Linked DNA regions of Diceros bicornis minor. The protein of the gene in region 1 purifies or fractionates together with the protein of each later gene. This does not show direct contact. Links are inferred from orthologs where the notes say so. Each region holds a gene or a part of one and is shown in the gene's direction. Other genes may lie near its edges.

Region 1 (7,821 bases):
AAATCGCCTAACAATGCATTTCTCAGAACATATCCCCATCATTAAGTGATGCATGACTGTACTTTAAAACTTGGAGAGTGCACATATGCCTGCTTTTCTGAAACTGGTGTGAGCACTGGGTTGCTGCGACACTCCCATTTGGAGTCCCTTCATCTCAATTTTCTTATCCTACAGGCAGTGGATGTGGTGGGCCAGGCCGGCAAGCCTAAGACCATCACAGGGTTCCAGACACACACAACGCCAGTGTTGTTGGCCCACGGGGAACGGGCAGAATTGGCCACTGAGGAGTTTCTTCCTGTCACCCCCATTTTGGAAGGTTTTGTTATCCTTCGGAAGAACCCCAACTATGACCTCTAAGTGGCCACCAGGGCCTTTGAGCTGCAGCTGTTGTCAGTGGGCCGTGCTTCCTGCTGCCAGGGGTGGACACTGCTCCAGACTTGTGAGGGAATTGTTACCTCCTGTTCTTTTGTTACCAAGTGAGATAACTTTGTTGAATAAAGACCTTTATCCCCGAGGTCCCTCTGTGTCTCTTTTCTGGGGTACCATGGGCTGGAGGTCAGACTCGGGTGGGGAGTAGATGTGAGACAGCATTGTTTGTAGCAGTTTTGAGCTGAGGCTAGGAGAGAGACTGCCCTGAATGGAAAGAACTAAGACTCTTTCCCTTCTCTCCTCCTTCCTAATCATCTTTAAAAAGTGGTTCATGTTTAGGGGCATGAACCCTTAAGAAGCTGATAAATGTAATGGATCTTCTTTCTAGGAGATGCATACACACAAATTTTCATACAAATTCGTACAAATAACTTTCCAAGGTGGATCCCATACATCCCCTACTCCCACCCACCAATGCACGCCCACCTCAAGCCCATCATTTCCTGACTTTGGACTAAGGATACCTGCTCTAAGAGGCAGCAGAGTTAGCTCCACTCTTTCTAACTCGACTCCTGGGCCGCTGATTGAAAGGGACGTCTTTACCTCCTGTGACCCTCTTTTCCTCCTTGGGAGGTTGCTATTTGAGAGATTTGATCATATTAACATCTATTTCTGGACTGTCCTTGCAGAAACTGGGTGCAAGAAAGCTTGACCCTGACCTTCCTCTCAGTGTAGCAATGGGAAAGAGAAGTGGGCTCCTTCCTGGAATATAATCACCCTTGATCTGCAGTGCTTCTTCCTGGTGGGGCTGGTATGAGTATAGCAACCCTGCCAGGTGGGGCATGGACCCCGCGGATGCAGTGGAGAACACGTGGCCCTGCCAGATAATCACTAGCATTTACCCAACACTGGGGTTTACCCTCTGAACAGTAACTGGCACTTAATAGGTCTTCTATAAATGTTGGAAGAATAATTGTCCTACACGCTTTTGAGACCTCACAATAACTTTGAGAGGTAGGTATTATCCCTGTGTTTTGGGGAGGAATGTAGTTTGGGTGAGGTTTGGTAACTTAGTCACATAGTAAATGGTGGGGCCAGGATTGGAGTCTAAGTCCATCTGACTCCAAAGCCCACACCCTCATTGACCACATTAATCTGTCTCTGTAGCCTTGGAGACTTGCGGACCCTATTGTAGTCCAAGGTATTGGCTAGGTGGAGAAGTGGAAATTTTGGATTGAGTGTCTCCGTTGTCTCCTCTCTGCACTCACTTGGCAGCCTGTATAAAATCTGTAAAAGGTTGAAGCACTGGACTTGGGAGTCAAGTCCCTTTAATGGGACCTGCTGTAGTCTGAGCAAATCAGCATGTCTGATGAGCCTCTGTTATCATCTGTATTACTTGGATAGAGTAATTGCCTTTCCTGATTTCCAATAGTGGTGATGTTAAAATAAGGTAAATTAGAAAGTGATTTGTAAACTGCAAAACAACATAAATAAAAAGATAATTCTCTCCTAAATCAGTGATTGTGCTTTAGAGTAAGAAATTTTCATAGTGGCTCTCAACCTTTCACATTTGGTCATGCATTCTGCAACAAATATCAATGGAGCCTTATTCTGCATTGGGCATTATTCTAGCTTGTGGGGATGCAAAGATAGAAAAAAAAAATCCTATCAAAGCTTATGTAGGGCTGGCCCTGTGGCTTAGCGGTTAAGTGCGCACGCTCCTCTGCTGGCAGCCCGGGTTCAGATCATGGGCGTGCACCAATGCACCGCTTCTCCGGCCATGCTGAGGCTGCGTCCCACATACAGCAACTAGAAGGATGTGCAGCTATGACATACAACTGTCTACTGGGGCTTTGGGGGGAAAAATAAATAAATAAATTACAAAGCTTATGTAATGGAAAATAATTGTGATATATCATGATAGATACTGTATTGGGCTGTGAACAAGGTACCCTGGGATCACTGAAATAAGGCTTAAGTGCCTGGGTAGGTCAGGGGAGATTTTGAGGAAACAGACTTGGAGGAAGATGAGTTTTTCCAGAAGAAAAGAGAGTAGGATAAAACTAAGGGAGCAGCAAAAGCAGGAGGGCAGAAAAGCTATTCATTTTAAAAAACCAGGGATATGGGCCGGCCCCGTGGCTTAGCGGTTAAGTGCGTGCGCTCCGCTGCTGGCGACCCGGGTTCGGATCCTGGGCGTGCACTGACGCGCCGCTTCTCCGGCCATGCTGAGGCCGAGTCTCACATACAGCAACTAGAAGGATGTGCAGCTATGACGTACAACTATCTACTGGGGCTTTGGGGGGAAAAAAATAAATAAATAAAATTATAAAAAAAAAAAAAAAAACAGGGATAGCTTGGTTTGACAAAGGGTATAGGGCCAGGGAAAAGTGTGGTAGGAGATACAGTTAGAGACAGAGGCTCAGATAGGTTTAGAAGAGCTTTGTTGTGCTAAGAAATTGACAGTATCACTCAATGGGAACCACTGAATGAGAGCATGATCAGCTACCTGGGTGAGAAAGCTCACCATTGAGGTGCGGAGACCAGGCAAAGGAAATGAAGGCCTGAACCAGGGCAGTAGAAATGGGGGGATGGGGAAGCACAGAAGAATAATTTTTTAAAGATAAAATCCACAGGACTTGATTTTGATCCAAACACCAATAGGACCTGGTGTCTGATTAGATGTAGTATGTGGATGAGAAGGAATGTAGGATGGATCCCAGATTTTCTGGTTGGATGCTATTCATTGAAAAAGAATACATGAGCAACACCAGGTTTGGGGTCAAGGTGTAGGACTCTATGTAGAGAGAGATGACAAATTCCTATCTGGGCATACACAATTTGAGATGCCTCTGGGGTGATTAGGTGATTATGTATTTTATGTAGCACCTTTTTCTTACTGGAGTTTGAGAGAGTGGTTTCTGATCTAGGAAGGGATTGGCATGTAGGCAGTAACTGATTTTTATTTATTAGTTTGCTTATGCAGAAAGAGAAATGAGAAGAGTACAGAAGGCAGCCATACACAGTAAAGTCACAGAACTCAAATGAAGAGTGTCACAGAGAACACTCTAGATTTGCATTTTCATTCTCACTATGGTTCCTTCTCGATGTGTCTATTTTGCTTTCCTTTCTTTGGAGCTTTAGTTTCTCATATACAATGGGAATAATAATACAATCTATTTTGTAGGAAATTGTGAGGACTATATATGACATACGTCATATATATTAAGTGACCAGTTCATCGATTGGTGCTGAGAAAACCTTTTCTTCTGAGATTTTATGTGTATATACACAGAGAGAGGAGAAGGGAGAGGGGAGAAGACAGAGGACAGAGGTAGAGAGAGGAGAGGGTATCCAGGCACTGTTTTAAGCACTTTCACATGAATTAACTCCTTTAATCCTCTCAATCCGATACAATGGGTATTATCATTGTGAGAAAAAGCACAGTGGTTAAAAGCTCAGACTTGAGTTCAAATCTTCCCATTTTACAACAGGTATTAGGTAGGTAGGTAGGTATGTGGCCAGGGAGTAAGCAGCAGAGTTTGGATTAAAACTCAGGCTATCTGACTGAGTAAATACGTGGATTTGGCTCTAGTACGGTCCCTTCTGGTGTCCAAAATTTTTTGGCTAACGGGCAGGGGTTTTGGGATTACTTCTTCTACCATTATTCTGAACTTTCTATGCTTGAGTTTGTCCCTCTCTGGGAGCGGCTGATCTTTGTAAAAGACAAATCTAACAATACTAATTCCCTAGTTAGAATGTTTCAATACTTCTAGAGTAACATTCAGTTTAATTGGTCTTTTCATGAGCTAACCTACATTATTTTCAAAGGCTGCATAATTCGTATTTCTTTCCGTACTTATTGCATGATTTACTTAGGCAGGACTGAGTCTTTAATTTCAGTATTCTCAGCTCCCAGCGAGCACTTCACCTAGCGCTTAGTATGCACTCCATAAATGCTTGCTCAAAGTATGAATGAACTAAAGAACCACGGAACACAGACGCAGAAGGGGGTCGGTCTGGGAGTTCCAAAGTTCGGGAGGGGACACGGGGGCGGGCAGTGGCAGTCACATGACGAGGCGGGGCAAATCCCATGTGCTCCGCGGCGCCAGGCGCGGCTCCGCCCTCTGCGCCGGTCACGTGGGGGCGCCGGCTGCGCCTGCGGAGAAGCGGTGGCCGCCGAGCGGGATCTGTGCGGGGAGCCGGAAATGGTTGTGGACTACGTCTGTGCGGCTGCGTGGGGCTCGGCCGCGCGGACTGAAGGAGACTGAAGGTAAAGCCGCCATGTCCGGGCCCGACCCGGCCCCCCCACCCCCTCCCCCCGCATCCGCCGCCATCCAGGCCGGGACCGGCCACCCTGCGCCGCCGCCCTGGCACCCTGGCTCCGCGGCCCAAGCCCGGGCCCCGGCCCTCCAGGGCCCGATCTCCGGCCCACGTGTGCCCGGCCTGGCTGCTGGGTGGGGGCGGGGGAGCGCCGGGCCGGAATATGCGGTCCCCGCGGGCAGGGAGGGCGCCGAGTTCGCCTGTCGCGAGGTGCCACCTCGGCTCGACCCGAGGAGGCCCCGCGGGCGCAGCACCGCGGCTCCCGGCCCGCCGCCCCATCCCCCCTTTGCGGCCCGGCCGCCGGGAAGTGACACGTTGTTCTTTGGCACTGGCCGGCGCTGCGCAGGGAGGGCGCAGGGGAGGGAGGCAGCGGCGGCGGGCAGGGAGGAGCCCCCGGCCCCGCCCGGCCTCCGGGCCGACCCTCACTTGTTTGAAACCGGCTTCTCTTCGGCCGCCGCCCGCCTGGCCTTTTACGGCCCGACTCCCGCCCTTCCTGGCCTCCACGCCTGGGTGGCGGCAGGCCTCGCCTCTGGCCCCGCGCGAGTGCCCCCGCGGCAGGCGTGCCTTGTGTGCCCCTGGGCCAGGCCCCGAACCCGGTGTCCCCGGGTGGGGGGTGGGGACACCACGGCCGAAGCTACTAGCTCCGTTTGTGATCCGGGAGCCTGGTGCCAGCGAGACCTGGAATTTCCGGTCTGGTTGGTCTTGGGCCCCGCGGAGCCAGGTTGATACCCCTCAACTCCCAACCCCAGGCCCTCGGATGCCCAGAACCTGTAGGCCGCACCGTGGACTTACTGTTAACCGAGGGGGTGAGTGAGGTGGCTCTTTCATCAGGTCAGGGAGGTGGTTGGAGGTGATGCGGGTTTGACAACGTGTTGATGGGGACATAAGCTGGATCCTTGCTGCTCCTTCACCCTCTTGGCGCCTCCGGGGGTCGGTATGGGACTCAGCCCTTGCTTCAACCCCTCCCCCAGTCCATTTGCCTTAAGCTTGGGTCCCTTCTCCTTTCCGAGCTCCACTCTTTCCCAACAGGTGCTGGGGGGACCCTGATGTGGCACCAAATGAAATGAACAAAGCTCCACAGCCCACAGGCCCCCCACCCGCCCCATCCCCTGGACTCCCACAGGTAATTAGGGACGAATTAGCAGAGACTGGGGTGGGGGTGGGGGGACCAGGCAGCTGGGTCAGAAACAGGTTCTAGCCTCTGGATTTCCCACCCCCATCTGTGTCAGGGCAAAGTGCAGCTTCCTGCTGCCAAATTGAGACAGAGCCCCTGGGCTGTTCCCAGGGGCTGTCATGGGGAGGGGGTATGTGGACTGCTGAGACTCTTGTCACAGATCTGCTCCCCTTACTTCACCAGCTTGGGTTTCTGCCCCACCCGGGTTTCCCCTCTTGCTGAACTCTGGTCTCCCTCCTTCAGCCAGCGTTTCCCCCGGGGCAGACAGCACCGGTGGTGTTCAGTACGCCACAAGCGACACAAATGAACACGCCTTCTCAGCCCCGCCAGGTGAGGGGCCGTGGGGAGGGGAGTAGGGGGCCTGGGTGGGGCCTTGGAAAGCTTGGGCCAGTTTGGGTCTAGGATGGAAACTCTGGAGGCCCTGTACCTGCCCCAGTTTCCTGACAGTTGCTCTGTGTTCTTTTGTGCAGCTCTGCACTTTGCGCTGTTGATTACTTACAGTATCTGGCCCCTTGGGGAGTATGTAGTTGGTGGGGGTGGCGTTACTAGGGGTCCTGGTGACTTGAGAATTGGGGGCAGTGCTTTGGACCCTGCTGCCAACTCCTGCTTTCCTATTTCCTCCTTTTACTGGGAGGTTGCCATTGCTCTGTTCCCCTTCCCTTCTTTCTCTTGGGGCTATGATGGGATAAACATTCCAGCTGGTTCTTGCCTTTATCTATACCCTAAATTCTTCCTCGCTAAGTGGGAGGATTCTTGTCCTACTTCCTTCATTGTTCCCCCTCATCACCTTGGGGATAATTCTCTTCTTTCCTGTCCCCACGTGCTCTCAGGGAGGATTCAGGTCTCTGCAGGTAATACCCCTTTGCTAATCCTGGACCTTCTCTTGGTCTCACCCTTACCCTCCACCCTAGTCAGGGGCTAGATGCAAGGACTGGGGCTCTTCAGGGTGGGGACTTGTTTGTCATTCAAGTCCTCAGTCTGAGCCTGACTGATGCATGTTAGGGGCTATATCTCGCAGAGCGTGCATCTGGGACCTGGGAGACTTGCATGTTAGTGGTTAGTTCCTCAGTGCCTTAGGTGGAGCAGTGCATGCTGAGGAGTATGTTGCCCGAAAGGACTTTACTTAGGCATGATGCATCTGGGTATCAGGCAGCCTCTGCATAGGGGTCGCCTGGTGGAGGTGACATGAGTATGCATGGCAGTGAGGGAGTAAATATATGCAGAGTGCAAAGTGTATACCTGAGTTTGGAGGGCATGTGTGAGTACAAGAGGCCAGTTAATCATCAGTTGGTCAAGTGGGTCTTGGAAGTATTGGTCTCCATGCTCCAAAGCCCCTAGTACTTCTCTCCAGTCTAGAGACATTGTGGAATGGCCATTTTGCTGTCCACTTCCTCCCCTTCCCAATGCCAACTGCCTTCCTCCCTCCTGACAGCACTTCTACCCTAGCCGGGCCCAGCCCCCGAGCAGTGCAGCCTCCCGAGTGCAGAGTGCAGCCCCCGCCCGCCCTGGCCCAGCTGCCCATGTCTACCCTGCTGGATCCCAAGTAATGATGATCCCTTCCCAGATCTCCTACCCAGCCTCCCAGGGGGCCTACTACATCCCCGGACAGGTGAGGCTGGAGGCTTGGGGGCTGGAAGCCACAGAGCCTTGTACCCCAACCCTCGCCTCCCTCACCCTGACCTTCCAATCCCATCTCTTCTCCAGAGGTGGGACTTGCTTCTGGTCATTGCCCAGAGTTGGCTTGTCTTGTCTTGCCCTACATTCTTTTTGTAGTCTGATATGGTGCTTATAGCTCCCTCAACTCCTTGTCTCCCCTCCTCCTCTCCCTTCCCTCTCCACCAGGGGCGTTCCACATATGTTGTCCCGACACAGCAGTATCCTGTGCAGCCAGGAGCCCCAGGCTTCTATCCGGGTGCAAGCCCTACAGAGTTTGGGACCTACGGTAAGCAGGGGAGGGA
Region 2 (7,504 bases), on another chromosome or scaffold:
TACATGGAAGGAAGGAAGGAAAGAAGAAAGTGAGCAGGGATTGGGACCATCAGACCGTGACCACTGTAGGAGTGATGACAGGTCAGTGTCCCCACTCAGTGTGTCTGACCATGTGTGTAAGTACACAAAATGTGGCTGTAGATGTAGCTCTATGTTTGAACCTTCCAGGCTGCTGTCTTCCGTAAGCATGAGTTCTGGGGAGCTGCAGGGAGGTAGGAAGGGGAGCCTTGCCCTGGGTACCTAAACCCCTGGCCCACCACAGTCACAGGTTCTGATTTGCTCAGCCGGAAATGCTCATCAGCTATCCTTTCACTCATCCCTCTGCCTGTAGGAAGGCTTGATTATAGACAGCCTCCTGGGGATTGGGAGTGATCTGTCATGTTTACAAAGGTCTCCTGGTCCTTAAATTGGGAATCATGCTCCAGTCTAGCTCCTAGAATCTATAGACTTGGCTCCCAGGATCTGAAGCCCAGCACAAGATAATCCTCCAACCCAAGGAGCTAGTGGAACTTGAACTGGGAAATCTGGAGACTTGTCTCCCATCGTGGGACATCGAGGACCATGTAGCTAGTGAGTGGACTCTTCCAGGCTTGGAGAGTTCTCATTCTGCAAGATCCTGCCTCCTTCCCAACCATTCTTGAGATATTCCAGCTGGGTGGATCTCAGAGCATAGCTGTCCACAGAGAAACTGGGGTGTTCATTCAGCACTCCATTACTCAGCAGGCCCCTGCCCAGCCCTGTGCCCAGACCCACAGGTGGGGAAACTGAGGCAGAGACAGGGCTCTCCCCTCCCAGAGCCTCCACACTGGGAGGCCAGATAGAGAGCCAGAAAGGACCTGAGGATCATCCAGTCTCACTCACAGAATCATCCACGTACACAGGAGGAAACTGAAGCCAGAAGGAAAGGAGGGAGAAGCTGTACAAGGCCTCACAGCAAAGTTTTTGTGGAGCTGGAGTAGAAACCAGGGGTCCTGACTCCCACCCAGGGCCTGTGGATTGCTACATAGGAAGATGAGATGCACGTGGAAAGAGGGTTTGACAGGCTGTCTCCAGGACACAGCTGTTCCTGCTTTGAGCAAGGATGTCTAGTCTGATGCCAGAGTGCCCTACTACCCCTCGGGTCTGCTGAGGTTGTCAGCTGAGCCAAACCTCCAAAATCATGCCTGTCTCCGTGGCCCAGCAGCTGCCTGATCTCTGGGGAAGCAGATGGGGCTCCTGGGGCCAGCCAGCTGCACCTGGGACTGCTGCCTCTGGAGAAGTTTCCCTGGAAACACACTGGCCCAGCAGCTTTGCCAGAGACTCTCGAGTGAGGGCGTGGGTCAGAGATTCCCCCAGGGAGGACTGCACTGGGAGATGAATTCTAGGCTGTGGCCATTGCTGATTGCAGACGGGGGTAGGGGCGAAATCTATTTTTGTGAAATAGAGGGAAGACTTTATTATTGTTATTTTTGGTAAAATAAAGGAGGCAAACTAAAGCGGCACTGGTGGGAAGCTGTGGTCTGAGTGCCACATGGCTCCTGGGCAGGCTGTGGAAGGAACTGGGCCAAATGGGGCAGGGAGGGCTTTTTGTCCTGAGATCCTCGGCCATGTGGAGGGCTGGCTAGTGTGGTCTGGTCTGGCCTAGCTCTCCTGGGTGGAGACACCAAGGTTTTCCCAGGCCTCTGGGAATTCTGGACCCAGAACTCCTGGGCTAGGCTAGGACCCTCAGAGTAGGGAGGGCTGGCCCTTGCCTTCAGGGAACTCAGTCTCTTGGGAGAGTCTCCTTGTTTCAGCTCAGGTCACCTGGCACTGGCTATTCCTCCCCAACCCCCTTAATCTGGGTGGTTTATTGGAGCTAATGGGTTAAGCGACAGCAGAAATAGTCTTAATCCTAATCACAGCAGAGGAAGCCCTTCTCAAGAAAAGGCTATTTGTTGGGTGCTGGCCAGAGCTCAAAGTGGGGGTGGCAGGACACGGGGCTGACTCCTGAGCTTATTCCCGGGAGACACTTGCTGTCATTCCACTGCTGGTTACCATCAAGTGCCCAGACAAGAGTTGAAAAACAGCTTGGTTCTTTTTTTTTTTCCCCCCTTTTCCTCCCCAAAGCCCCAATAGATAGTTGTATGTCATAGTTGCACATCCTTCTAGTTGCTGTATGTGGGACACCGCCTCAGCATGGCCGGACAAGCAGTGCGTCGGTGCGTGCCCGGGATCCGAACCTGGGCAGCCAGTAGCGGAGCACGCACCCTCAACAGCTAAGCCACGGGGCTGGCCCAGCTTGGTTCTTAAGACTCAGCAAAGGCCCACCTAGAGCTCTCTCCTCTACCTGGGGAGACAGCCTGGCTTCGTGCCCTCCTGGGAGGCAGAGGCCAGGGTTTCAGTCCCCGCCCAGCCCCTGAGGTACTAGGGCCGGCCCTTTCCCCTCTAGACCTCAATTTCCTCATCTATTTCTTGACCAGGTGTGGGAGTGAGGAACTGATTGATCTGTAAACTTCATTACTCACAGTCTGTGGATCATTCACAATGATAACAATAATTGCTCATACTCACTATGTGTCAGGTACAGTGCTAAATGCTTGACATATAATAGCTTGTTGAATCAAGTTTGTCTTGGGCTAGTTGCCTGGCTCCCAGTATCCCTCCCTTCACTGCTCTAGGATCTCTAAGGCCCTCCACTCTGCTGCCCCTTCTTCTGGCTCACCAGAGGAGGCCGGGTCCAGCATTCTAAAAGGTGGCTCTGCTTGCACACCTCCTATGACAGGTCACTTATTACCTCTTCAATTACTGGACAGCTCAGACTCTTAGAGAGTTCCAGCTCTGGGCCCATAGTTGTTTTGAAATACACCATGGCAGTGAGGATAGATTTATCTCAGAACCGTGTGGCCAAGCCCTGCACCTTACAAGGGAATTTCTGAGTACATTAGGAAGCCATCACAAAACTGCTTGGAAAAATTCAGAGAGGGATGCTTGGAGAAGACCAGAGAGATGTAGAGAGAAAGGAGGAGACAGCAGGGAGAGCTGGGGTTCTCAGCAACACAGAGAAAAGAGCCCCTTGTAGGGCAAAACTTGGCAGGAGAGGGTGCTAGGAGAAGCAGTGTATTGGGAATAGAGGGACAGTGGGGGCAGCCAGGCTGCGGAAGGCTTTGTTTTCTCATTGGCTCAGGATCCATAAAAATATTTGGAGCAGGGAACAAGGAAGCAAACCATTCTCCCACCTTGGGGCAGAGCATCCACCTGTTGAGTCAAGGCTGCCACCCCCCTTGGCCCTCAAGAACACTGCAGCTTCTTTGAGGTTTCCTGCTGCCACTCCCATCCCTACTTCTGTGAGCTATGTGGAGCTCTGCCTGATTTGGGGGATCCCTGCCTGAGCCCTCATCTCTGGCGTTAACTGAACTTGGTTGCCATGTGGGGGACATAAAAATTTTGAGAACCTGGATTGGAACACAGGCCTGAGTGACTCAGGGCCAGCTAGCTATTGAGACATTCAGGGAACAGAGAGGGGAACAGACCAGCATGGCCTCCGAGGACATGAAGCTTGGGTGAGCCTGGAAGATGATGGTGAGAGAGGTCAGGGTATACACGGGCCTTCAGGTCAGACTGAGGGATTCTGGAAGCCTGGAAGAAGGTCTCCCTCTTCAGTCTTCACCCAGACTGAGCAATCTAGCAAAGCCCTGAATGTTCCCGACCTCCTTCCATCAAAAGGATGAGAAAACTGAGCCCAGAGGGGGAAAGGCAACAAACGGTTGTCAGGTGGATGATGGGAAGGAAGTCCAGGAGGCTCTTTAACTAGCATTGCTCACCAGACCCTCACAACAATCCTGAGACAAGCAGGGAAGGGATGCTGACTTCCATTTCACAGCGGAGGAAACACTCGAGTCAGGATCTGAATTAAACCTAAGTCAGCGCTCTCGTTCTCTCATCACACTTGCAGCCTGGGGGAGGGACGGGGCATGGTTGAAATACTACCTTATTTGCAGTTGGTTTTCTCCAAGAAATGAACTTTTAAGTTTTTTATTTTAAACTACTGGGGGTAATGCTTTACTCAAGGAGAAACTCTCATGGTGAAATTATAGGCATGTAATTTTATATTAAGAGTTTTTACAGAATTAGCTCTTTTATTAGAAAAGACTGGCAGCATTTCCCCATAAGTAAAAGGCATTTAAAAATGCCTTCCTGGCATGCAGAAGCTCTCGGTAAATGTTAATTACACCTGCCGCTGCCAGACCTCCTCCCCGGGACGCTTCCCTGGCTTCCACGATTTCACTCGGAAAAGGCAGCGTCGAACGGAGCTAAGGCCCACCCCCTACCCCAGCAATCTCCCCGCCCCTTTCTATCACGCCTGCGCAATTTACTTAGCCCGCCCCACCCTCTCCCTGAGTAGCCGTCAAGGCGCAGGCGCAGCTCCGCCCCCTCACGCCCCTCTCCAGCCGGGCCCGCCCCCTGGGTCTAGTACCGCCTCTTCCGCGTTCTCGGCGGAGCGATCTGCAGGTGGGGGTGCGCGCCAACCGGGACGTGGCGAGTCAGCTGAAGTGAAGGCAGAACGGCAAGGTATCCCTCCGAGCACAATGGGGCGGGGGTCTGAAGGAGTCGGTGTGCCCGGGACGGGGCGGTGTCGGCCTTCAGACCGGCCCGCGGTCACGACCCGATTCTGCTGCGAGAGGACCGCCGAAGGAGACACTTTTTTAGGGCTGTCCTCAGGGCTCCGTCTCTGACGAGCTCAGGGCGCAGCGTGTGTCCCCCGTCCCGGCTCAGCCGGTGCCTGGGGGGTCGGGCGTGGGTTGTGACAGGTGTCCGAGGTCGCAGCTCAGCCTGTGGCCGGTTTGAGACAGTCCCTACCGGGTTGTGTGGCTGGGCTCAGGGCTCAGGAAGTCCAACATCATGAATAGTATTTCATGTGAGGAATTTATTCTGTGTACTACGTTATTTTAAAGTTAACTGTTTTCCTTTAGAAGCTCCTGACATGCGCGGGTGGCCGTAGAGTGGAGAGAAGTCCTAGTGTCAGGTGCAGTCTCTCTCTGTGGGAGTTTCCAGGCCACCTGTCAGATGGCCAGTAGCAGATCCGAGGTCAGGCGGGTGACAGGAGTGAGGTGCTGAAAGTGCTTGGCTTTGGGACAGGCAGGCCTGGGTTCGGATCCCCCCTCTGCCACTTCCTAGCTGTGTGTCCTCGGGTAAGTCATTTCCTCTCTCAGCTTTGGTTTCTCCTGTAAAATGGCATAGTAGGGTCCTTGTGAAGTTTGAATAGGATTTACATGTGTCACCTGGTATGGCACCTGTCACAAAATGGGTGCTGAATACATGGCAGCTGTGATTCCTAGGAACTAGGTGATTTTGGACTGGGGTACTGTAGAGAGGCCCTGGGGGAACAGTTGAGGTGAGGTAGCTCTTGAAGCCTCAGTGGGATTTATAGGTGGAACTGACCTTGCAGGATGGGAAGGGAGCTAATGCATATTGACCATTGTCCGTGTGCCAAGCACTGTGCTGGGCAGTCGGTGTACATTGTCTCACTGGATCCTTGGCCAGCAGCCAGGTGCTTTCAGCCCCACTACCCTTCACTTCAGCCCTCTCAAGAGGGCTAGGCTGGAAGTGATGTAAAGAGGAGACCCAGGGTTGGGTTTTTTATATGGGGTGGGCCAGCTGGAGACTTTGATCCCCATCCCACCCCCCAGCTTCTCTACCTTCGGGCTTCTCTTTCTGTGATCCAGAGAGTTAATTGGGTTCTTGACTTTGTCTGGGAGGCCTGTTCCCTAGCAGATTTTGATGGTTAGAGGGCCTGGCAAGTGAGCACCTCTTAAACTCCGGTTGCATGAAGCTGAGCCCTGGGAGAGAGAAGCTCTGTCAACAGGAGCAGTTGGATTCCAGCACATGCTTAGGAAGCACTTGTGGTCCCCTGTAATGTGTTCCCATAGTAATCTAGTAACTTGGTTCCTTTTGCATCCTCTTTATGGTACCTATGTGATCTTCCTGAGACAATGTTCTCATCATGTTATATCTCTGCTCAGAAACCTTGGCGGGCTTTGTCGTCTGCTATATAGAGTTTGGACTCCTCAGTCTCATAGACAAGTTCCTCCATAATCTGTTCCCAAACCTGTCGTCTGCCGTGTTTCCATTTGTTCTTTCAAACCTGCACCCTGCACCCCAGTCAAAATAAACTAGTTTTCGTTCCTCACACTCCTTGCATGTGTTCCTTTGCTTGTGTTCGCTCTTCCTAGAGTTCCCTCCTCCTTCTCATCTTTCAAGGCCCGTGACCTCATCAGTGAAGCTTCTCTGATCCCCCTGCTGGATTAGTTGCCACCCTCCCATCTTCTCTAGCAGAGGCTGCTCTTCGAATATAGCTCTGATCACAATTTGCCTTGGGGTATGTCACCCCGTATATACTCTGAGTACATTGGTGGCAAGGGACCAGGTCTGTTTCATCCCTCCTCTACCTGGCACATAGTAGGGCACTGCAGTGTTTGTGGCTGAATGAGTCAGTGACATTTTTTATTTATTTGCTTTGGTCTTTGTTTTATGAGCTTTCAGGTTCAGAGTGGGCCTTTGTGTTTTTCCTTCTCTGTGTGCCTAAGGAGAGCCCTAGTTTAGATTAATGATGCCCTAATTACAGGCATCAAATGCAAGACAGTACAGGAGTTCTGCACAAGGCAGGATTCTTCATTGTTGCTATTGTTTTCAAGCTCTTGTCTTGCCTTTGCTGTGAGTTTAGTTGGAAGGGAAGTGGTGCTCTGTTCAGGGACCTGCACTTAGTGTGATATAGTTCACGCAGGGGAAAGCACACAGATGGTTTACTGATCAGTTGTCCTGCTGTTGGCCTTGGCCCTGGCCCCTACTATCTGGGGAACCAGCAGCTACAAGTTCACATTTTTCCCTGCCAACAGCTTCAGCATATGAAACAGAAGGCTCTTTGTTGATCACAGAAAAATATATATTGTTGAATGTAGAAGGAGCTTGGGAACCGTCTGGTTCTACTTCCTTAATTTTTCACATGGGGAAAGGCCCAGAGAGGGGAAAGGACTTCATTAAGATTGCACAAGGAACCAGTCATTGGTGGAGATGGTACTAGAAGTGAAAAGTCCTGACTCTTTGATTTTTTCCAGTGTACTACGTTGTTAATATAATTATTTATTGAGCGCTTACTATATGGCGTATACTGTTTTAAATGCTTTATGTGTAACATCTCAAAACTCTATTTTATAAATTTGGAAACTGGGTAGATAGGAATCATTCCGATCTACTTTCTGATTCCACAACTCTGGTTTTTAATGTTTGTGTGTGTGTGTGTGTGTGTGTGTGTGAGGAAGACTGGCTCTGAGCTAACATCCATTGCCAATCCTCCTCTTTTTGCTGAGGAAGATTAGCCCTGAACTAACATCTGTCCCATCTTCCTCTGTTTTGTATGTGGGATGCCGCCACAGCATGGCTTGATGAGTGGTGCGTAGGTCTGTGCCTGGGATCCAAACCTGTGAACCCCAGGCTGCCGAAGCGGAGCACATGAACTTAACCACTACACCACGGGGCTGGGCCTAATGTG
Region 3 (8,087 bases), on another chromosome or scaffold:
ATGAATGTGGTTGGAGGAGGGAAGAGGTCTAGGGGCTGAGCCCTAAGACTTTTCAACCTTAGAAGTCAGAGAGATCAGGAGACATCAGCAAAGGAGACTGAGGAGTAGGCAGAGAAGTAGGAAGAAGATCAGGAAAGGGTGATCCTGGAATCCAGGGGAGGAAAGTGCTTTAGGGAGGTGGAGTGATCAACCCTGACTGTGGAAGATGGAATGCAATGCACTAGAATATAGGGGCTGGCTTTAGACGAGAGCACGGACTGAAGAGTATCAGGAGGGAGGCAGGATGTGTGAGGACAGATGCTGGTGGGTGGGTAGAAGGCAGAATGCCAAAGTTCTCTTCTAATTGCTCCACTGTTTGCAGTGCTACAGAAAATGAGGACATCGGCCAAGAGGAGAGGATTGGACACAGGGAAAGTATGAAATAGTCCTCTGGGAGAACGGACACATGGCCTAGAGAAGGTCATAGGATAGCTGAACAGTATCATGGTGCTTGTTGAGGCTTATGGCCGTGAATTTAAGGTGAGGCTTGCCAATACGGCTGTGCATTTTTCTCCAGTCATAGTAGGCTGCAGGCAAGGAACATGTGGAGGGTTGGATTGGCCAGGGTTGGGGCTTTGCCAGGGGTTTGGGTAGAATAAAGGAGAGCCAAGCATGAAAAGAACTAAATGATGGCATCCAAGTTGGGTACGGAGCAGATAGAGGACATGCGGAATGAGGGGTAGTGGAAAGGAAGTAGGACTGATGAATGGACTACAGGTCCCAGTCAGGCAGCAGGGCCGTTGGAGTTGGGATACAACAGAGTTAACCATCGGAGATCGTGGCCAGAAAGTGAGATGCTTGAAATCAAGACGTGAAACTGAGATAGCTGGTATGACAAGGTCTAGGGTGGGAATCGGCAAACTATGGCCTGTGGGCCAAATTCAACCTGCTGCCTGTGTTTATACAGCCTTGAGCTAAGAATGGTCCTTACATTTTCAAATGTAATATGCAAAAAAGAGAAAGACTGTTATTCTTTAAGCAAGAACAGTTGCTTCAAGAATTGAAGACACTGTTTTCAGGCCTGCAAAGCCTAAAATATTTACTCTATGGCCCTTTTCAGGGGTTTGCTGACCCCTGGTCTGGCTTGTAGAGTATCACCATGTGTGTGAGTGAGTGGCTGAGGTAAGGTAGAGGACACAAGCTCAAGGCCAGGTGGCCAGGATATTGGCAGGATCATCTACATGGGTATAGAAACCACTGATAATTATGACAGTAGTGTTGGAGAAAGTGACAGGGAACCAGAACCAAGAGTCAACGAATGAGGGGGTGTGACCTGGGATCTGTAGATGCCAGAGAGGACTGTAACACAGAGGAACTGCTGGTGGTCTAGTCTGACGGCATGAGGTTCAAAGGTCAGAGTTTAAGGGAGGAGAGAGAGAAAGAGAATGCTCTGGAAGTAGCTACTAGTGGGAGGAGCTAGTTGGTCTTTGATCTACCTCCAGGCGCTGGTGGTTTGAGGGAGGAATATGCCACCCCTTGCAGGGTGGCTGGGCAGCAGAGTGCTCAGGGATGGCCAGAGCAAAGAGCACAAGCAAAGGAGCAGTTAAGTCAGCCCCAGCTGGTGGGAAAGGCTGTGCAGAGGAAGACTTTGAGCTGAGGCTTGAAGTCTTAGCAGGAGTAAGTCAGGACACAGCGGGTGGGATGGGGAGGAGGAAGGGGAAACATAGGTGTAGGAAAGCATGATATCTTTGAACGGAGACCTCAGAAAATCACAAATGAACTTCAGTACAGCTGGAGGTTCAGAACCAGCGCTATTAGGAGCTTTGGGTGAAGAACATTATTGTTTCTTTAATATCTGCATGCTGGAGCTTAGGTATATTGAGAACAATGTGTAGATGAGGAGATGCTCTATGAATGAAAGAAGACACACATTGGACTTTCAAACTTGTTACTTCCCCACAGGTATAGTAGGAAACTGTTGCATATAAATGTTTATATGGAGATTCATTCTTTTATCTCTCCAGCATTTTTTGAGAGCATCCTTTCTGCCTGATGATCTGCCAGGCATCGGAGATACAGTGGTGAACAACACAAATATGGTCCTTCCCTTATTTGAGCTTATAGTCTACAAGTAATTACATTGAAGCATGATCAGTGCTAAGACAGGATGTTACTGGTGCTCACTGCCTTGGCATCTAAACTAATCTGGGGGCCAAGGAAGAATCCTGGAGGAAGTGACATTTAATCTGAAGGAGAAATAGGTGCTTGTTTTGAAGAGCAAAGAATGGGTGGTGGTGAAGAATGTTCCAAGTGAAGTGATGGCATGCATGGGGTTGGAAGTGGGAGAGAGGGCTGATTAACACACTGAAAGACAGTGAGTGTGGCAAAAGATGGGGCTGGAGAGATGATGGGGGCCTGGACTGAAGTGGTGTCTCCGTCTTCACGGAGCTTCTGGTAAATGTTCAAAATCTTTCCTCTCTCTAGACTGCAAAGTCTGAGAAGGCAGGAACCAAGTCTGTCCTGTTCACTGCTGTTTACCCACTTATTGGGTGCTTACTTCCTGTGCCTGAAAATGGTTTGTTGAATGAATGCATGACTGTGAACCTTAGTTTACCTCTCTGAAATTTACATTCATCAATATAAATACCTTCATTACAATTCTTGTAAACAAAACAATGAACGTGAAAGCATTCTGTAAACTGTAAAACATGATACTTGTTTTAAAGCAGTAAGACACTATGTTGCAAATATGTATAATGTAGTACCTCTGTTGTGCCCCTAATAACTGTTTTTTTGAGAATCTTATTTACTCCACTCAAGTCGGGAAAAAACCCCAAAACATTGTATTGGAGAAATTATCCAGTCCTGTGTAGTACAAAAGTAGCTTGATTAGGGAAAAAGCCTTCATCAGCCTGATCATTTCCTTTCACCACTTCCTAAAGTGGCTTCTAGCCTATTCAGGTTGCTTGTTTTCCACTAAGTGAGCATTAATCAACAGCAAGTAATTATGCTTTTCTCCAGGCCCAGAATAGATCCTATCTTGTCCCTCACCGTGTACTCATCTATCTTCATCAGTGAATCATCAGCTCCTTGAAAGCAGGCATCTTGCATCTTTTCAGCCCCCGCATCTAACATTATGGCTGTTAGCTGGTACTGAATACTTGTTGGTCGAGTTTAATAGGTGAATTTATCCTGAAAATTGACATTATACCTTTACTCATTCACAAATAAATATATTTAATGCACTTAAATGATCACTAGCTATTATATTACCAAATGCTTCATATACTTTAAATAACTTGAAAGAGAAAAGGATGAAGATGTAGAGATATTAGATTTCATTTTACCTCCCAATTTTCTAGCGTTTGTATTGTTTTAGGTCTACCAAATAATGAGCAATAATCAATGAGGTCATTTTACCTTTTTTTTTGAGATATCATAATGCAAAGGTAAGAATGTTGGAAAGTTTTTTCTGATACTTAGGCCAGGTTTCCTTTTATTTTATTCTGTTACATCTCCCTATGGCCTACTAAATAGTTTTCTATCTAAGCATTTAAAAGCTGTAATTGCTCTTATGTTTAGCTTTTTAATTTTGACTTAATTATTATATACACAGGCTAGTCTCTTGATCCTGCCCCATAAAACAGTTTCTACAGCTTCTTAGTACTTGTTGCTCAACCATGTCTGGCTCTTATTTTGGGGGGAGTAAGCTCAGACATTTAGAGTGGTCTAAGCATTTTGGAGGAAGAACTGTCTGAAATTAATTTTAAAATGACCTTTTTTTAGAATTTGTGATTTATTTTTTGTCTATGTCTGCATTTCCCCAATTTTTTTTCTTTATAGTGATAAATTTAGTTAAATAGAAAAATCTCTTTGCTGAGGTAGAAGGAATGAGGGGGAAATGTTTTTTGTAGGTATGTACTGTGGTTTCTTCGCTCATGAATGTAGTACTGGCATTAATTCGCCTATCCCATCCATTATAACAAAATGTGTAATAAATTTGCAACAATTTATTCCACTGCTCCTTTCTGAATTTTTCTTCTGAACTCATCTTAATTTCATACCAAGGGCTTGAGTAATTAGATTCGGTTTAAATGGCTTTCAAGTTCTAGGTATAATAGTTACTGTTTGAACATTAAAATTGTTAATCAATAACAAAAGACGGTGCCAAAGGGCCTGTTATAAATCGATTTTGTTTTCACTGACATTCATTTTTCTTTTGTTTGCTTGTGATGTGGGCTGAATGTAAAGATGACAACACACCTATGTATTTTCAAACATCATGCAGGTCTGTTCTGCCGCAGGGCTTGTGCCCTCTGCCAGATTGCTCTGTCCCGTGTGTCCCCATCCCTCAGGTCTCAGCTCAAAACTCGCCTTCTCTGAGGGCCCCCATGCCCCAGGCAATCTCTGTGTCATCAGCTTTTTTATTTTACCTAGAAAGGAAATAAGCTTATTTGTTTAGTTATTTAGGACTCTCCTCTCCATGGTAGGCCGTCCTGTGACAGGTCACCACTATTTCCCAGTGGGAAGCAGCTCTGGCTTAGTGATACCTGCTCAATGCCTTTCCGTTAAACGGACAAATTCGGCATTTTGACTCAGCCAAGACAGGCCATTCCCTAGGCGGATGGGATCTGATTGTAACTTTGCATGACTCCGCACAAATCACGTGAAAAATGAATCCGTGCAGACCCCTGCCTTCTCGCCGGACAGAAACTCGGACCCAAATCTCACCCTTTCCACCACGATTCTCGCTCGAGGAGCGAGGGGCTCGAGAAACACCCGCCTAAGGGTCCCCTCCAAGTCCCGAAGAGAAACGACAGCGCGCGGAGGACGCCGGCCGTCGCCACGTCAGCCGGGTCGCGTGACGCCAGCGCGCCTGCGCACGGGGGAGGGGCAGCGCGAGCGCAGACGCCCGCCCCTACATCCGGGGCCTAGACGGCGGCGGCGCCGCGGCGCGGGGGTCACGTGGCTTCTTCCTTTCCGTCTCTGGCCGGCTGGGCGCGGGCGACTGCTGGCGAGGCGCGTGGGAGCTCGCGCTGGTTCCCCTTGGTCTCGTCTCCCGGCTCGGGCCACTGAGGAGTTCGCTGACGCCGGGTGAGCCGAGCCTGCCGCCAAGATGCCGGCCTATTTCCAGAGGCCGGAAAATGCCCTCAAACGCGCCAACGGTGAGTAGGAGATGGGGCGCGTCGGCTGGGACGGCCCGAGGCCTCGCAGGTCGTGGGGTCCGGGCCTGCTTCCCGCTGCTCCGCCGCCCGGCTGCGGCCGGGGAGGAGGCAGTGCGGCCCGCCCGCCCCCGTCCCGGTCCCCGGCCGTGGTTGGGCATGGTCCCCCTTCTGCTGCAGCCGACCGGGGCGAGAGGCGCGGAACCGGGAGCCGTCGTCCTCCGGGCCCTTCTTTCCCCGCGCTCCTGCTGCGTGTCGGGGGCTGCGGCCCCGGGGACAGAGCTGCCGGGACCCGGGCTCCTCTCCCGCTGTCCGCCTCCGCCTGGCTCTCTCCAGGCCACGGGGCTTTCGTGTGCTTGGGCCCCGCGCCCCCGGCCGCCATCTGGGAGTGCCGAGGAGGAGGAAACATGGCTCCCTCCCGGGGACAATGCACGCGAGAACCTCGGCTCCACCTCCCGCCGGGGCCGGAGCCGAGCGGTCCCACCCCCGGCCCTCCCGCAGACTCCTCCGCCCCCCAAAATCCAGCGCCGGGCTTGGCTGGGTCAGGGTCCACCTCCCCTTCCCCCAACCCCTGTATCGCCGCTTCGGGGACTCTGACCCATTTAACCTGTTTCCTGTTTTTCCTGGCATTGATTATTGGCAGCCCAAAAGTCTGTTCCGAATCACAGGAAGTTGGAACAGAGTTAATACTATGAGAGAGAGACTTCAAGTTCTCTCTTAAAGATAACGAAACTGAGGCTTAAAGAGAGAATGGCTTGCCCAAGGTCACTCCGCGAGTTAGTTGTTGAGCCAGGACGCTAAAACCAAGGTCTCTTGGCTTCCAGATCAGTCGTTTTTTCGCCACAGCGATGCTGCCTGCGGTTTTTGTTTCCATATGTGTACTAAGTCATGGGCGCTTTCCAGCAAACTTGTGCGTTTATTACGTTGGTATTATGGGGGTGCAGATGTATTATACATGTCTCTGATCTTTAAAAACTTTCTTGTTTAGGGTTTTTTTTTTTTTTTTTGAGCCTAACATTTTGTAAGTGGTGGGGCGTCCATAGCTCTTATCTCCACTCTTTCTCCACTCAAGGAAGTTAGGGGTCTTTTCCATGCTGTAGATGGAGATGCCGTGTCTGTTACAGTTTTATGTTTGTGGAGCCTGTTTTGTTAGCTTGTTTGAAAATTGCTGTTGTGGAAAGGTCAATTTCAGTCGTTACATAAAATTGATCCTGCTGATAATCTGTCAGGGCCAAAGATGTGTTTGTCACGTGGTGGTTCTTTTAACTAAAAGTAACAATTTTGGGCGGGATAACAGTCTGAAATAGTATGGTTCCACATTCTGTGGAATAGAGTGGTTGTTTTAAAAAACAAAAGTACAACTTAGATCTGATCACTACTCATTCTAACGAGTGGTCTAATGGTTAGAACAGGCAAGAAGTTTAAGGACGTTAATTTATAGGGAAGAGAATAGATTGAAATGGAAATTTATCACTACAAAATAAACTGTAGCAGAGTGAGGAAAAATTTCCTTTTTGATATTTCGAAATTCAGAATTGTGTTATGGTATATTAAATGGCTCAGATGAAATTACTGCTCTAATCGCTAGAGTCATTTGGATGCTTTACCAACGGGCGTTTTTCCCCATGTGAATAGGCTGAAGCACTGTAATCTGGAGGGCCTGAATAGTACACATTTGATGTGTTCAGGCCTTGTTTCATCATTCCTCACTTCTGAATCTTCATGTGAACTTAGTATTTCAATAACTCTAAACTTTTGTGTAGTTTTAAAAAAGGCTGTATTGATTCCCCGTTGCAGCCCTTTTGAGCTGTAGGGTGGGTGTTTCTGTGGAAGAGATGAGATGCCTTACCTTTCAAGAAGTAATTTCTGTGCCTTTGATCTTGTGAATGAGAGATCCCTTCTCAGAGTGTCAAAGTGAGTGGAATGTGGATGGCCCGTGGCACTGCTTACGAAACTTTTAATAGAATGATGAAAGTACATTTCATTCAATGGAAGTAATCTTATTTTATCTAAATGTTTTATCTATAATTTTTGTAACGTCAAACACATTTAGACCTAATCCATTACCTTATCTTAATAAAATGTGAATAATGTAAGTGTAATAGTCCTTCAGGTCACCCTGAGTTTGTATATCAGAGCAGTATTTTTGGAAACAGTGATTATTCAGGAAGATGAGAATTTGGTCCAGTAGTTACAGGCAAGAAATTCATACCCCAGAATCATTTGGAAAAAGCTCTTTTTCCAGATTAGATTGTTAGTAGTGCCAAATTAGTTGTTCCTGACCCTGTAACATCCTTTTAATTAGCACTCTATAACCAATGACTTAAAAAATAGTTATTAAACCCACAAATTGTGTAACATTATAGCTTATCTACTTGGTCTGTTGCAAATAAACTAGTAAAAATAAAGGGCTGATCTAAACTTTTTCTTTATAGATAGATACATAGTTTCGGTCATTGTGTCTGAAAGGTAAGCTCAGAATGCTCACCATTTTAGTAATAGTTTATAATTCCAGATTTTAATTTTTTTCAAGAATATCTATCTGGAAATGAACATTTAAACATTGCAGTAGAGCCTTTTGTGACCTTTCTTTCTAGCCTCAAAAACTGTTTTTTCCCAGTTAGATAATTCAGAGGAACTAAATCCTCCTTGTATGTAGAATAGGGTAAAAACAGAAGCGCACCATGGTAGGTTATCATGATAAATTTGTTCTCATTCCAGTTTTTTCTTTTACAAACATCCTTGCCTGGTATCCATGTTTTCTTTTTTTGTTGGTGATGGTAGGGGTGTCTGCTATGAAAAATTATTTTTTAATGCATTTATTATTTTTAATGCATTTTCAAGCCTTGGCTTGTTTGAACTTACTGCTTCAGAGTTTGAGAGTATGGGATTTTGAATCATAAGTTTTGATTGTTTGATCTGTTTTGGAAGTGAAAAATAGTTTTA
Region 4 (7,651 bases), on another chromosome or scaffold:
AAATAATTGTCACTAAAATGCAGGGCAATGTAATTTATGTCCACTCACTGGGATTTACTACTGAGTAAATATTTGGCCTTTTCTTTGCTTTTGTAGTTTTATCAGGATATCAAAAAATTACCTGTTTTCTCCCAATAAATTTATTTAAGCTAAATTTTATTTTATAAGCCATCCTTGTATTTGCCTTTATGAAACAGTGTGGATAATAAATGCTTCTTCATAGTATACTTCCTGTAATCATTTTGAATGAGGCACATGGTTTTGTTAAGCACTGAATGATGTCATTGCCTCAAGTTTATATGGGACATTTTATGAAATCATTCTGAATGAATGTTTGGACGGTTACCAAAGAGGCCTAGAAAGAAATGTTTTTCCTTTTTTTACACGCACTCTGGTGGTAGGAAATTCCCTTTTATTCATGAGCCTCCCCTAGCCTGAGACCTCAGGGACTTGGCCTTTTCTGACCTTTGAGAATGAGCTCCCCGGATATCAAGCCTCCCTTTGTCTGCAGTTACTGCATTACATTTGATTCCTGTTTGAGAATAAGTAATATGTGTGCGGACACATAGGAAGAAGCTACATGTAGCTTATCTGCCGTGAGTGTATGGGGAATACTCATTCTACAGGAAATGGAAATCCTAACCAGACCTCCTGGTGGTGAACCCCTTGCAGAGACGCTCGTAATCCTTGGTACCAGCTTCTTAGCGATCCCCTCTTTTAACTCTGTGACAAAGTTGAAATAGCTGTTTTTTATATTGGGTGAAGTGTAACTGCTCACTTTCAAAAATTTATGCATTTGAGGATTGAAAATAGATCTGATTATGGCAAGAGGATGTGACTCGTGTATTTTGTCAGGGTTGTCTATTAATATATGTGAGCCAGTGTTAAGGAAATTACTTGGAGTTCAAAACAGCTCTGGCTAGCCACTGTCAAGTGTTAAATGATATTTTGGCATTGCATAGTTGATAGCAGTTGCTTATGGTGTCTTTCTTGGATTAAATGTTTTCATCAAGATCTAATCTGTTGTCAGTGAGATCTTGAAACTAACACAGGTGCAAACTTATAACATCTCTGCAAAATGGGTATATTTGAATAGTTGTACAATGATTTCTGTTGTTTACATTGACTTTTTACAGTTAATTTTTGGAATAGATAAGGTATTAATATGGTTCAGAACTAAAAACTCTGAGAAGATACAAACTAACAAATCTCCCTCCCGCTCCACTCCCCCCACTTGGGGTCCCCATGGCTCTGAGTAGGTAGACGGCTGCATCCTCTCCTGGGTTCCTTTTCCAATATCTCTTTATGCAAACACAAGTAGATATTTCTATTTTCCTCCCTTTTTTACAGCAAGAATGTTTTCTTCATTTAACAGTACCTTGGACGTTTCTCCGGATCTGTACGTCAAGCTCTTCCTCATTTTCCCCCAGTGAGTGACTCTTGTAAGCAGATTGAAGGTGCATATCTGTGGAGAAATTATTGACATGAAGTTGTAAGAAAAGCACATTTACAATCTATAGCAACGTTTTTAAATAATACTTTGGAAATAAATAAAAATAGTAAAATTGAAAATAATAGAAGAAGTCTTTTCTGGAACCTTTCTAAGCATTCCAGTGGTTGGCTGTGGGTTGGCTCCCAGCCCAGCCGACTAGCGCAGGGACTGGACTAGCGCTGGGCCCCGGGGCCTGCATGCAGGCGGGAAGGCTTGTGTGCGAGTAGCTTGGAGTCACGTTTCCTCCTCCCTCTCCCTCTTATTGACCAGATTTTATTAAATCATTTGGAATTTTAGTTCTCTTACTGGGTTAACCAGATCTCTCTCTTTAAAAGAGTTTAGACTGTATGTGTACTCAAGTAAGAGAATGTGCTTAGAAGTGTGTGTTAAATGAGCATTTCATTTTTATTTTTCCAAGAAGAAAAGCTACCTAAAGAAAATAGCTTAACAATCCTGTAGAACATTCCAGTTTTCATCCTTATGTCTTCCCCACGTTCTGAATTAAAGTAGAGTCCTTCCTTACCATTCGTAAGAGAAGATAAAATGGATCTTTTACTGCAACGTTTCTGCTGTTGGTATTAAATAAAACAGCGTGATTCCAGTGTAGTGACTCTTCATGTTTTCTTTAGACCTCACAGCTACAGTGTCAGCAGTGTCCTGGGTCTCCTTCTCTGTTTACCACTCTTGTGTCTCTTGAGTTCCTTTTCTGGAATTCTTAAGCAGGCACCTCCCCACCCCACTCCAACAAAAGAGTGTAGGGGTGTCAGAATGTTGTTTTTCTTTTGCACTTGAGTAATAATCTTCACAATAGAATAGAATTCTATGAAAACAAAATACTTTAGAATTCTAGGAACAAAATACTTTTTTCTTGGAACTTTCAAAATACTGCTCCATTGTTTTCTAGTCTTGTTGATTCTGCTGTTAAGACCTTCTGTTGAGTTTGTAAATTTAGTAATTTAAATTTAATAATCTTCTGATTTCTGTGGACACTTCCTTGTTCTCTAGTAGGTCCTTTTTCTTGGCATTCTGTTTATTTTACCTGCTAGAATTGCTTTAAGGATACAAATCAGAATTTTTTTTAAGTTCTTTTCTGTTTCTGTGTTCTGTTTACTCAATCATTTTCCCGTAATTTTAATTCCCCCTAATTTACCCCTCACATGTCTTGTGATTGTTTGTTGTCCATTCATATATGAGGGCTGAAATCATATTTTAGTGGGTGTGTTTCCTCGGCAGTTAAGGTGGTTGCTGTTTCTCCAGCAGGATTCTCTTGTGAAAATTTTCATCACCCGCAAAAGTTCTTTTGTGCCTCTTTAATCAGACCTTCTCCAGACCTTGACAACCACTGATCTGTTTTCTGTGCCTATAATTTTGTCCTTGAATGTTATATAAATGCAATTAAACAACATTTGTAGCCTTTTGAGTCTGACTTCTTTCACTTAGCATGATGCTCTTTTAGAGTCATTGAGTAGTATTTCGTTGTGTAGACTACCACATCCACCACTTGATGGACATTTGGGTTGTTTCCAGCTTTTGGCGGTTATGAATAGAGCTGCTGTAAACATCAGCATACGGGGTTTTTTTGTGGACATAGGTCTTCAGTTCTCTTGGATAAGTACCTAGGAGTGGCATTGCTGGGTTGTATGGTAAGTAACTTTATAAGAACCTGCCAGACTCTTTTCCAGAGTGCCTGTAGCATTCTGCATCTGTATCAGCCACGTAGGGAGTTCCAGTTGCTTCACGTCCTTGCTGGCACTTGTGTTGTCAGACATATATTCTCCTAGTCTGTGGCTTGTCTTTTTAATTTTCTCCTAAGTTTTAAGGTTTACATCTAGACTTAAAGATCTTTATCTGCCGTGGAACTGTAAAGAATACTAGTCAGCAGTGTCATTTCTTCACACACACCTCACCCTGACCTCTCTTCTGCTTCCTTTTCACTTAAAAGATACCTTTCCCTTCCAGTGCTTGGTGTTGTGCCTAAGTGACTTTAATATAAGCTTTACCCCCAGGTTGGAGATGATAAGACAGTTTAAGCTCACTGAGCTCACAGTGAAAGTGTTTCAGAAGACCATTTCTAGATTGTTTTGGGACTCTCCTTATTTTCACCATTACTATCAGTGCACAGTTTCTTTGTGGACTTTTGGAAGTATATGTAAATATTTTATGAAGATATTTTGGTTTTAAATCTGTATTTACAGTCTTGGTAGCTATTGCCAAAGAGCCTTCCAGAAATATTTTCCCCAGAAATATCAGTGCCTTCTTACCGATAGGGTACGAGAGTTAGTTGCCATTTATTCACATTTATGGTAATAGTGGGTATTATCCATTTGTATAATAATAAGCTATTGGTTATATGTGAATCACATGCTTGTAGATTTCCCTCCAAGTTACTGGACTATCGGCTCCATTAGAGTGGAGGAATCACAACTCTGCTGTACCATTTTTATCCCCGGTGCCAATGATCGTGCGTGGCACTTAGTAGGCTCTAAATGTTATGGAGTAAGTGAATGAGTAACTAGCGAGTGATTTTCTGTTGTAGAAATCTAGGCATACTGATTCCTTGTCTAGGACTTATTTCTTGAAGAACTGTTAGGCAGTTGCCAAACTTGCTTCCATGTAGTTTAGCCAGTTGTTTTTCCATCAAGTCACATTTAGAATTCTCTGAAATGAGGATTCACAACTGTGCTTGTGTCTATTGAATAATGTTTATCTGTGCGTCATGTTCCAGTACACTTTTAAGATAAAAATCACATATATTTTTAAAGATCATTCATCAGGATCATTAACATTTTGCTCTTTTGGATTTCCCTATCTCCCCATTTGAACCACATTTTCTGCTTTTCTTTAGTATGTATGGCAGAGAAAACTGAAAAGGAGGTAATGACATGAGTCAGCAGAAAGGTAAATGGAACAACTGGAAATGTTTGTGAACCAAAAAAATTCTCCTGCAAGCAGGACTCTGCTTGTAAGTTTGGTGTACAAAATCGACCTATTTCAAAATAAGCTTTATCAACTTGAGTTTTCTTTGACAATTTATGGAGAAGGCTAAGTAGTATTTTCATGTTTGTAATTGGAAAATACTACACCTAGAAATCTCAGTTTGCAGACCCTTGTTTTGTTTAACCGAGAAAGGGTCTTGGGGATTCTGGCCCAAATATTTCATAGGATTATTATAATATATAGCATTTTTTCCAAAAGTATATAATTTGTGCATTTTATGTGATCAGTGATTCTCTTTTTTTCAGTATATTTTTGGAGATTTTAGCCCTGATGAATTCAATCAGTTCTTTGTGACTCCTCGCTGTTCAGTTGAGGTAAGACAAAACTTTGTTTTGTTGAGTATATGTGTAGATAAAATTAATGGTTGTTTTACTTTTTATTAATTTATGCTTTTTGATAAAGAATTCAAGTGTACAGAAAAGTGCAGAGACTAATATGAGAAATGCCTGAACCCACCAACCAGATTTGACTAATATTAACATTTTGCTATATTTATAAATGGCAAAACATTACAGATACAGTTGAAGCCTCCATTGTACCCCTCTCCTGTCTCATTCCCTTCTTCCCCAGAAATAACAACTCGGCTAAAATTGGTAAGTTTTTTTTCCTGGCTATGGTTTTTGCCTTTTATTACATATACCTGTGTTGTGTAGCAACAGATAGTACGTTGTATTGTTTTATGTGGTTTAAAATGTCACATAAATGGTTTCATATTATATTCATCATTTTGTAGTTTTTTATTTTAAGCTAACGTATTCTTTAGATTTATTTATGCAGATACATTTTGTTCTTGTTCTTTGATTTTAATTGCTAAATACCATTGGTGGAACATACCATGATTTATTTACCTTTTTTTCTGTTGAAGACCATTTAGGTCTTTAGTTCTTCCACTATTACAAAAATGTTGCGATAAACATATTTTGTCATGTCTCCTCATGCTCCTCTGTGTTTCTCCAGAATATATTCCTAGGGATGGAATTGCTGGGTTCTGCAATTTCTGTCTCTAGTTTTACTAGAGACAGCTGATGTTCTTTTTAAGTGGTTTTAACAGTCTCCGTTCCCATCAACAGTGCACAAGAGTTTTCTTGATCTTATTTTTTTTTTTTTAATTCTTGGTAATTCTCAGTATAGGCATATATAAAATTTTTGTTAACCTGATGGGTAATAAATGGATTCTCATTGTTTTAATTTACATTCCCAGATTACAAAGAGTTGAGCACTATTTCATTATTTTCATATGTCCATTGGCAGTATAGACTTCTGCTTCTATGAATTATCCCGTCTGTATCCCTTGTCCGTATTTTTTATCAAATGGCATATCTTTTTTCTTATTGATTTATAGGAGTAATAATCTTCGGTTTTGCATATTATGGGTATCTCTTCCTGGCATGAGGGCTTTTAAACTTCATATGTGATGCTTTTTTTCTTTTTTTTGGTGGGTAAGGGCAGTGCATTTTTATCTTTATAATGTCAAATACATTGATTTTTTTTTTCCTCATGGTTTGTGGATTTTTGGTTTTTAATAAAATATCTTTAAGAAATTCTTCTCTTCCCTGAGGTAATAAAGACATTTGTTTTCTTCTAAAAGTTTTAAGGTTTTTGTTTTCACTTTAGTATGTAATATAACTGAAATTGAGGTACTGATTTGTGTGTGTCAGGTAGGGATCTAACTTCCTCTCCCCCATGGCAGTGTGAGTGGCACTGAGAACTCAGCCCTTATTTGTAGTGCCCCCGCGTCAGGTCGCACATCTCCATATATGCTCAGTTGGTTGTGGGTCCCCTGTTGTGTGGGCCTTTTGCTTTATCTCTGTATCAATACCCCATGTTTTAATTGCTTCAGCTTTATAATCAGTCTGATGGTAGGACACACACCCTCTTCTTATACTTACAAGTATTTTGGCTCTCCTTCATCCTTAACTCTTTCTTAGGAATTTATGATCAGTATGTCAAGTTTCATGAAAAATCCTATTGAAATTTCAGTTGAAATTGCATTAAAATTATAGATAATTTGTAGGAGAATTAACATCTTTATGATAGGTTTTCTAAACATGATTGTGGTGTATTTCTCCATTCATTGAGGTCTTCTTGTATGTCCACTCCTTATGTGATTAATGGTTTCTGTTTTAGTTTAGTAAAAACTTATTTGGAACATTTTTCAGCTTTATGTTTTAAATATGAAAACTGTTTAAATTGCTTTGAAAAGGAAAAAAGGGGGGAGAAGTAAGTACATCAAGTTAAATCTTAGTTAACTTTTAGATCCCTTAATTTTAAGATTTTATTTATTTATTTTTCCCCCAAAGCCCCAGTAGATAGTTGTATGTCATAGCTGCACATCCTTCTAGTTGCTGTATGTGGGACACGGCCTCAGCATGGCCGGAGAAGCGGTGCATCGGTGAGCGCCCGGGATCCGAACCCGGGCCGCCAGCATCGGAGCACGCGCACTTAACCGCTAAGCCACGGGGCCGGCCCTAGATCCCTTAATTTTAGAACCCCTGATAGAGATACACAGTTGTCTGTTGGCACATGTATTAAATATTTATGTAGGGAGTTCTGTTATTTGATAAAATGGGGTAGGAGAAGCTGACTTCTTAGCATAGGAGTCAAAGGCCAGGGTTGGGGTCTGAGTGGGCCACTTACATGTGACCTTGGCAAGTCCTTCCCTCTTCACCTTGACTGCTTCAATTCTAAATTTTTTTTTAGGGTTGTGGAGGTAGGGTTAAATGAGAACATACTGAAAGCAGTATTTACACTATACAGATGTAGGAAAGATTTGTTACTTGTTTTCTTCTCCTTCACTTTAGGAAAAAGAAGGAAATCAAAGAAAATAAAGCTTATATTACATTTCATTTTAGAAAATGGGTAAATTCAGTTCAGCGTCATCTCTATCTCTTGTGCTCATTGATGTTAACAGTTATGATTTTAAGGAATCTGAGGATATGAGCTAGGAAATAGTGAAAGCTAAATTATTTATTGTATTTCCTAAGGCAATAAAATATATTTATGCATTTTAGAATTCTGTAGAATAAAGATTGAAGTTTAGTTTTTTCTGATTAAAAAACAGTTAATTAGGAAAAATGTAATCAGATCCCATATTCCTCAAGCCTTACTGTTAATACTCTACTAGTAATTCAAATTTTAAATACTTTCTGTCTTTGAATCACA

The links.
Region 2: the proteins of EIF4G1 (region 1) and MKNK1 purify together in Homo sapiens (affinity purification with western blotting; 3 studies listed by BioGRID and IntAct, with this or other methods). This does not show direct contact. The link is inferred for Diceros bicornis minor from reciprocal best matches to the Homo sapiens genes EIF4G1 and MKNK1.
Region 3: the proteins of EIF4G1 (region 1) and EIF3A purify together in Homo sapiens (affinity purification with western blotting; 4 studies listed by BioGRID, with this or other methods). This does not show direct contact. The link is inferred for Diceros bicornis minor from reciprocal best matches to the Homo sapiens genes EIF4G1 and EIF3A.
Region 4: the proteins of EIF4G1 (region 1) and USP10 purify together in Homo sapiens (affinity purification with mass spectrometry; 4 studies listed by BioGRID, with this or other methods). This does not show direct contact. The link is inferred for Diceros bicornis minor from reciprocal best matches to the Homo sapiens genes EIF4G1 and USP10.

Annotation. Positions count from the first base shown.
Region 1 is NC_080754.1:39,380,819-39,388,639, reverse strand, and holds the start of EIF4G1 (eukaryotic translation initiation factor 4 gamma 1), read left to right. Parts: upstream 1-4,530; 5' UTR 4,531-4,639; intron 4,640-5,438; 5' UTR 5,439-5,495; intron 5,496-5,718; 5' UTR 5,719-5,752; coding exon 5,753-5,812; intron 5,813-6,046; exon of another isoform or gene 6,047-6,106; coding exon 6,107-6,193; intron 6,194-7,295; coding exon 7,296-7,472; intron 7,473-7,705; coding exon 7,706-7,805; intron 7,806-7,821. Other genes in the region: PSMD2 (26S proteasome non-ATPase regulatory subunit 2), read left to right, coding at 175-357.
Region 2 is NC_080752.1:9,453,115-9,460,618, reverse strand, and holds the start of MKNK1 (MAP kinase-interacting serine/threonine-protein kinase 1), read left to right. Parts: upstream 1-4,429; 5' UTR 4,430-4,527; intron 4,528-4,928; exon of another isoform or gene 4,929-5,147; intron 5,148-7,504. UniProt on the Homo sapiens protein: May play a role in the response to environmental stress and cytokines. Appears to regulate translation by phosphorylating EIF4E, thus increasing the affinity of this protein for the 7-methylguanosine-containing mRNA cap.
Region 3 is NC_080745.1:81,934,894-81,942,980, reverse strand, and holds the start of EIF3A (eukaryotic translation initiation factor 3 subunit A), read left to right. Parts: upstream 1-4,974; 5' UTR 4,975-5,095; coding exon 5,096-5,144; intron 5,145-8,087. UniProt on the Homo sapiens protein: RNA-binding component of the eukaryotic translation initiation factor 3 (eIF-3) complex, which is required for several steps in the initiation of protein synthesis.
Region 4 is NC_080771.1:33,698,326-33,705,976, forward strand, and holds the start of USP10 (ubiquitin carboxyl-terminal hydrolase 10), read left to right. Parts: upstream 1-4,398; 5' UTR 4,399-4,409; coding exon 4,410-4,454; intron 4,455-4,734; coding exon 4,735-4,803; intron 4,804-7,651. UniProt on the Homo sapiens protein: Hydrolase that can remove conjugated ubiquitin from target proteins such as p53/TP53, RPS2/us5, RPS3/us3, RPS10/eS10, BECN1, SNX3 and CFTR.